Oryzias latipes: one gene and its partner. The protein of the gene in region 1 binds, or shares a complex with, the protein of each later gene. Links are inferred from orthologs where the notes say so. Each region holds a gene or a part of one and is shown on either strand. Other genes may lie near its edges.

Region 1 (4,100 bases):
TTCACACGTTTTTTGCACTGTTTTAATATCATCTTTACCTTACTTTTGTATTTATTTTTTCATTTATTTTGTACGCCTTTGGATCGTTGTAATAAAACATAAAAACTGTTTGTTCTCAAATTTTTTTAGTTACCGGTAATACAAATTAGTAAATTTAAAACCTGAAATTGAGTTTTTGTAAAGTTTCATTGTGAAATTATTGGGATATAATTAAAAATATTCTGCTAAAAAAAAAGAGAGACAGAGAGAAGCCGCGGTTGTACTAAAAAACAAATGTCAAGCATTACCACAAAAACTATTTTAAAGATAAATTATTAGAGAAAAATGGAAAGTAGGAAAAAAAGCTGAAAGGGCACCATCCTAGAAAGGCAAACAAAAAATTTGAAAAGGTTTTTTCAAGTCAATATTTCTGAGCTGCGTTTAAAATATTGTTTTTTTTTTTTCAGTAGACAGAAAAAGTTATAATTTGCATAAGAGAATTTGTCATCCTTTCTAAACTCTACACATAAAAACAATTACTCTTAATTAACGCGTTTGCAGATATTTAACAGGAAAAGAGTAAAACATGTAGCAATCAGAAGAAAATCTCACTCCGAGCAACTCTCTTCCATCTTCGTCTAGAAGCGGAACCACTTTGGATAAATCCTGACGAGCCCATTTGGGGAAGGAGGGCTTGTAGTCGGGCATGGATGTGACTCCGGGCCACGCCGTTTCGTCAGGTGTGCCCAGCGTGCGAAAGATCCTGAATAACTGATCGATCTCAGAGTCTCCGGGAAACAAAGCCCTCCTGGTGATCTGTGAACACAGACCATCAGTTTATTATCAGCGTGCTCCTAATTCTTTATTGAAGTTGGTCTTGGGGTCGAGCGCGTTACCATTTCAGCGAAGATGCACCCCAAACTCCAGACATCGACAGCTGTGGAGTAGTATTTGCAGCCGAGGAGGATTTCTGGGGCTCTGTACCAAAGTGTTACCACCTGAAAGATACCACAAAGAATCAAGAACGACTCTAATGTTTTATTATGTGAACCTGATACAAGACAAGAAAAGGTCTGAATCAGATTTTGAAAGAGCAAAGCTAAGAAAATACATATTTTGGGATTTTATCCTTTAAAATAAACATTTTCTCACTATCCAGCACTAAAAATCCCTGAACCACATTAGAAAAACAAAATCAGCTGTTATCAGATCGATTCGTACCTTGTTACAGATGAAGAAAGGGAGGAGCACACTGTACCTCATGAGTGTAGGTGCGGACCGGCACTCCAAAAGCTCTCGCCAGACCGAAGTCTGCCAGTTTGATCTCACCCTGGGCGTTGATGAGGAGGTTTTGGGGCTTCAGGTCCCGATGAAGAACTCTGTGAGAGTGGCAGAAAGCCAGGCCTTGCAGCAACTGGAAGAGATAACTCTAGAAACACAAGACAGTAAGAACAAGGAATCAGGTCTGGACAGTTTCAGGATCTTCTCTTTAAAGAGGACGCTCACCTTCACCAAAGCCAGCGGGATGCCAGTCACAGAGGAAGAGTCCATGAATTTTTTGAGGTCCTGATGGAGGAACTCAAAAACCAGATAGAGTTTGTTTTCTGTGTGAATCACATCCTGCAACCTGGACAAAAAAAAAAAGTTGGTTTAAAACATAAAATCACACAAAATGGGATTCTTTTGAACAAAATAAACATATTTCTGCATGGTTAAACACTTACTTGACAATATTTGGATGACTGAGTTCTTTAAGAAGTGAAATTTCTCGAATCGCTGTGCTTGGTACGCCCTCTGTTTCTCTGGATTAAAGAAATCACAAATTTAAGGATCAGCGGAGATTGTTTTATGAAGTTAAATGCTTCCTTTGTCCCATTGATAAATTGAATACAATTTTCCTAGTTATTGCACAATAATTCATTTTGATTAAGAATCATTTTAAATTAAAGCAATTTGTTGTGTTTATGATGCTTTTCCAAAACTTTATGGACAAATGCACATGAATTTGTAATCATCACTTTTGATCAATTTATTGACTAATTGTGTTTAGTGTTCCATTACCCCCAAAGGCAAATAGAGATGAATAAAACAGATGGTGAATAGATTTTAAATGTAACTGAGTAGGTTTAATTTGACAGTGAAACCAACCAAACAAGAGCTGAATGCTTTTATTTTGTAACATGTCAGTTTTGTTTCAACTTTGTATTATTATTTACTTTTATTTTTTAGGTCTTTGTACATAGAGTGAATTTAAAATGTTTTGTCTTTTCTGTAATTAATGAAACTGTTTCATGAGGGGACTGGAATTAAGCATTTGAGATAATCTGAATCACAACAAACGCTTCTCAGAGGTTTCAACCAGCAGGAAGAAGAACTTTTCACTTACGTATCCAGTCGGATTTTCTTCAGCGCAACCGTTTCTCCGGTCAGTTTGTTTTTAGCTTTGTAAACCACTCCATACGTCCCTTCTCCGATCTTTTCCACTTTCTGAAACGTATCCATTTCCCACCAGAATCGGACCGGACCTCTTTCTTTGTTTCGGAGCTAACGTCTTCTCGGAGGCTACAAGCATTAAGCAGCGCGGGGACCGACCTACAATTACCCGCTTCTCCGGGTTTCGTCATGCGGTCCAGGCTACAACCAAACCAAGGGGTCCCGTTCGAGGACAAACTCTCTCCGGTCAGAGAGCGGCACACAAAAACGGACAGGTGAACATCTGTCAGGTAGTAACACTAACCCCTAAATTGAGGATTAGCCCGGTGGTTGCTCCGCGGTGGAAAACAACACAACGGCGTTTCCCGCGTTGTGTTGCGGGCGTTCGTTTTTGTGCTCGAGACACACCGTACCGTTCAGAGCAGAAGCAATTTATTATTTTCCCTTTTCTTGAATTTAGCAGTAATTAAAGTCAGTCCTGATATATGGCACTGGTGAAGGTAGACCGCTATGTTTATTGTATTTAATCCAATGATTTTATTGCGAACTGGTGTAATTGGAGAAATGAGTTCCTCGTCTTCCGGCGTATAACGGAATAATAAACAAGCCGCACTCTTTGGTCACATGGTCTACGGCGTAAAGGAACCAGAAAGCTACGTAAAAGCGGTTAAATATGAAGGGAAAAAAGTTTAACGCCCACAAATAATGTGTATTTTTGGAACATTTTTTTTTATCAATGTATACATTTTCATAAATGCATTTATATTCCAATTTAACCATCAGTTAAAAAACAAAAATCAAAGACGGAGATTATTTTTTTTTAATTTTAATAACTTTATTGACAAACATTGCACATACAGAATTTCACACCAAGTGCAAATTATTGAAGTTGCCATGAGGTTGAATAACAAAAAAATAATAATAATAATAATAATAAAATGAAATAAATAATAATAAAATAAACAAAATAAAAAAAATAAACACATAATTCAATAAATGAATCAACAAAAGTAATAATACATAAAAGTTTTTTAAAAAAAGCATAAACAGTCAAAATAAAAATAAAAAGACTTCAAAGTTTCAATTGAGACAAAACCTTTTTAAGTGTTTTATTAGTTTCTTTGTTAGTGCAGCATTTCCTTGTCAAACACATTCACACTGTTTTTTGTTAGTGAGATAAAACTGAAATCCCAAAAGATTATAACCACTCCTGACAACTTTTTGGCAAAAAAGTAGTACACTTGTACACCTAAAGTTTACTTCTTAAGTATACCTAAGTATAATTACAGCAAATGTACGCCTACTATACTCCATGTACATGCAGTACAGGAAGTATACTAACAGAATACTTCTCAGAATAAATTATTACATTTTATGTCTTCAATATATAGTGTATAAAAAGTAAACTTAAAGTATAGACTCCAATGGACTATCTTTGCCACAGGATAAGAAAAGTATGTTAGAAAATATTATTAATTTTCTACTTTTGTAAACCAAATTTTACACTAACAAAAAGAAAAAAAAGTTTTTCCTTTGTTCAACTTTTCTATTTGTATTCATTGTAATATATATATATATAAATATATATATATATATATGTATTTGAAGAGATCGAAATTGAAATATCATTGTCAAGTAATCACTTTTATGTTGGTATAAATTATTGAATTACATAAGTAGCCCTCTGC
Region 2 (3,209 bases), on another chromosome or scaffold:
TTCCTAAAAGACCTTCGGTTGATCTTCTCTGTGCTCTGACCCTCCTCCACCTCCTCCTCCTCCTCAGAGGAGCTTCACAACCAGGGGGTGCAGGATGTGCTTGTTTTCTGCACCAGAGGGGAGCTCAGCAGGTACCGAGTCCCCACCCTGCTGGAGGCGTACGAGCGGCGAGGCCTCACGGTGCAGCACTGGCCCATCCCCGACGGAGAGGCGCCGGAGCTGGAGCAGTGCTGCCGGATCCTGGACGAGCTGCAGCGCCACCTGGAGGGCGGCAGGAAGACGCTGATCCAGTGAGTCTTCGTGCTACAATCGATGAAAACGCTGCGACGTCTGAGTGTGTAGCTCAGCAAAGCTCCACTCAGATCTGTTTCCTGAACGTTTTCTTTAGAAATTCAATTTTCCAAATCTTTTAGGATTTTTGACCCTCAGCTGCTTTTGCTCGTCTTCAGTCCAGACTTATTCTCTCAGACTAATTCCTTCTTTCTCCAATGTTTAGTGTTTTTAAAAAGTATTTTTTATTTGTAGCTAAAGTAGAATTGAACAATGTACAGAAATGAGGCGCAAATTCAGACTTTTCCACAGTTTTCCAGTTTTCTTCATGAATTCTGCCGTTTAAATCCAGTTTTGGCTCCAGATCAGAAACTGGTTTGAACCTCGGATGACCTCAGCCGTTCTTCTGTTCCAGCTGCTTTGGAGGTCTGGGACGATCCGCTCTGAGTGAGAAGCCAAACTTTGTGTTTTGAAGTCCGGACGCCTCCTCCTCCTCCTTCACGCTGTCCTCTCCTCCTCAGTCGCAGCTTGTTTGCTGCTTCAGCTCTCCGTTACCATGACGGCGAGCGACGCCATCAAGCTCCTCAGGGAGCTGCGAGGAAGAGGAGCCATCCAGACCGTGAAGGTGAGGACGCTCCTCTTCTGTCTGCAGGAAACTAAGAAAATGACCTTAAATACATTTATTCATGCAGAAATAAATAAAACAATAAATCGTTTGTGTCCAGCTTTTTACCTAAAGTGAAGCAAAAGATTAATTAGTTTAACCAAAAAAAATGTCAACACTTTTTTGTAGTTTAAAGTTTAGAAACATAAAGAATATGAACATCTAAAGGATTTAGAAATGCGTCAAATCTGACTATTTTAGCTAAAGATGAGGCTTCAAAGCATCAACGGCAGGAACTAAAAGCTGCTTCTTAGTTTAAAAAGTACTACACTTTATTTTATTAAACATACTACTGCAGTCCATCTAATTGTAGGAAGTAGACAAAGTGAATACTCTTTTTAGACTAAATGAGGACATTTTACAATATAATGATAAAAAAGGAGGATTTTATTTTATTTTATTTATCCCACAATGGGAAATTCGTTTCCGCATTTGACCCATCCCTCCACTGGGGGAGCGGTGAGCTGCAGCCGATTATTATTATTCAAGTACACTGCCTCCCGTTTAGTGGACACTAAGTAAACGTGAAATGTAGAGTCGGATATCATCAGCATAGAAGAGAATCAAACTGTTGGAAAAGTCGAAGGTTGTGTCCCAATTCCTTTACCATGTAGCGCCTTCGCCACTTTATAGGGATGTCTGAATCTACAATTCCAAAATGCAGAGCCCTAGAAGTTTCCCAGAAGTCTCTGCGAAAAACCAGTGAGCACTGATGCTCACTAGCCCTTGTGCTATCCTATGGGGTCCAGATGACCCGATCCTTACATTGACATGTTCCCCCTACCATGACAAAGGTGGATAAAGGTGGAAAGATTTCATGTAATCCATGGACACCAGTGAAGATCACAAATCATTGAAGAAAAAAGGTTCAGAGCACTGTCTAGTGGGTCTAGATGACCCAACTCCCAATGTTAAAGTGCTAATGGTCATCTTGACCCCATAGGATAGTACAATGGTTAAAGCTCCAAAAACAAAGATTAGAAAAACCTTTCCTGTCCTGTTCCTTCAGACAACAGCGCCCCCTTGATGCGTCTGATAGAACTTCAGGACTTTTCCAAATGGTTTTCAGTCTTTGATTCTGGGAATGAAGGAATAGAATCCTGATTTTTATTCCTTTTTTTCTTCTGCAGCAGTACAACTTTCTCCACGAGTTTCGAGAGAAGTTGGCGGCGCGCGGGGAGAGCGGAGACGCTTCCACGGAGCGCCCGGTGTCCCGCTGATCCAGGACGTCTCCTGCCATTCCTCACAAGTCCTTTCCTCTCTGAGTTGCACTTTAAATCAAATCCTTTAATATATTTTCTCTTAAAATCAATGATGGAAAAAAGTTTTTTTCCGGTTTCATTTTTCTCGTTTTCTTCTTCTGCAGCTTTCAGCTTAACCGTCTGCTTTCGTCTTTTCTTTCTTCTGCAGGTCAAACACAAAACTCTTTTTTTACATTTGTGTCATTTAACCCTTGTCCTATACTATGACCCCCCCTTCCATTGACGTGTTCTCCCTACCATGACAAAGGTGGATAAAGGTGGAAAGATTTCATGTAATCCATGGACACCAGTGAAGATCACAAATCATTGAAGAAAAAAGGTTCAGAGCACTGTCTAGTGGGTCTAGATGACCCAATGTTAAAGTGCCTAGGATAGCACAAGGGTTACGCCGGTTTTCTGTCTTCATTTCGACTGAAAATGTGAACTTTTTCTCTCAGACGTCGTGTGTTCATGTGTGAAACCCAGACCTCAGAGTGAAAACATGATTAGATTGAAATAAATGTTTTAATGCGACACGGGGAAATGAATCTACATGACAGAAATGACAAACAGTGAAAGTCTGGCCACACCCACAAATGACATCATTGGAGTGTTCGGGGCAGAAACACAATCCTCTAAATTAAAAACTAGGAATAAATAGGAGGAAATGTTTGAAATCCAAAGGTCAAAGTTAAACTCGACCTTTGTCTGCAGACGTAATCCAATAATCTGGAGTCACAGATTACATGATGAGTAAACAAACGTCTCTGTCCACGTGCCCCCCCCCCCGTCAGAAATACCAGCTGAGTCTTCGGCGGCAACGAATCAGCTCGCCGTCCTGATGACGGATGAAAAACTTTATTTAAATCTCAAGCGGATCAAAAACAACCAATAAAAAAGTGTGTGTGTGTGGGGGGGTCCATTCAGATGTCTTCCATGAGCGGTTCTGCAGAACCGTGAGGAGCAGACGTGTCGGTGAAGAGCCAGAATGTTTCAGGGGGTGACGGCCTGCGCCGAGTCCAGGTCATCGCCGA

The links. The genes of interacting proteins can lie anywhere in the genome.
Region 2: the proteins of cdk2 (region 1) and cdkn3 are in contact, whole or in part, in a crystal structure (PDB 1FQ1), measured with the Homo sapiens proteins. The link is inferred for Oryzias latipes from reciprocal best matches to the Homo sapiens genes CDK2 and CDKN3. Residues at the interface, in NP_001789.2 of Homo sapiens: Tyr15, Glu42, Thr158, Tyr159, Thr160, His161, Val163, Val164, Leu166, Leu174, Gly176, Asp206, Ser207, Glu208, Ile209, Leu212, Asp235, Lys237, Phe240; in NP_005183.2 of Homo sapiens: Phe53, Lys54, Asp55, Arg57, Tyr87, Asp110, Gly111, Tyr141, Gly142, Gly143, Leu144, Gly145, Arg146, Ser147, Arg172, Ser177, Gly178, Ile180, Gln181, Thr182, Ile183, Lys184, Tyr186, Asn187, Glu191.

Annotation. Positions count from the first base shown.
Region 1 is NC_019863.2:27,093,792-27,097,891, forward strand, and holds the start of cdk2 (cyclin-dependent kinase 2), read right to left. Parts: upstream 2,801-4,100; 5' UTR 2,482-2,800; coding exon 2,366-2,481; intron 1,782-2,365; coding exon 1,704-1,781; intron 1,607-1,703; coding exon 1,486-1,606; intron 1,409-1,485; coding exon 1,238-1,408; intron 978-1,237; coding exon 876-977; intron 796-875; coding exon 592-795; intron 1-591. UniProt on the Homo sapiens protein: Serine/threonine-protein kinase involved in the control of the cell cycle; essential for meiosis, but dispensable for mitosis. Phosphorylates CABLES1, CTNNB1, CDK2AP2, ERCC6, NBN, USP37, p53/TP53, NPM1, CDK7, RB1, BRCA2, MYC, NPAT, EZH2.
Region 2 is NC_019880.2:1,400,493-1,403,701, forward strand, and holds the end of cdkn3 (cyclin-dependent kinase inhibitor 3), read left to right. Parts: intron 1-67; coding exon 68-290; intron 291-685; coding exon 686-717; intron 718-791; coding exon 792-895; intron 896-2,064; coding exon 2,065-2,154; 3' UTR 2,155-2,709; downstream 2,710-3,209. UniProt on the Homo sapiens protein: May play a role in cell cycle regulation. Dual specificity CC phosphatase active toward substrates containing either phosphotyrosine or phosphoserine residues. Dephosphorylates CDK2 at 'Thr-160' in a cyclin-dependent manner.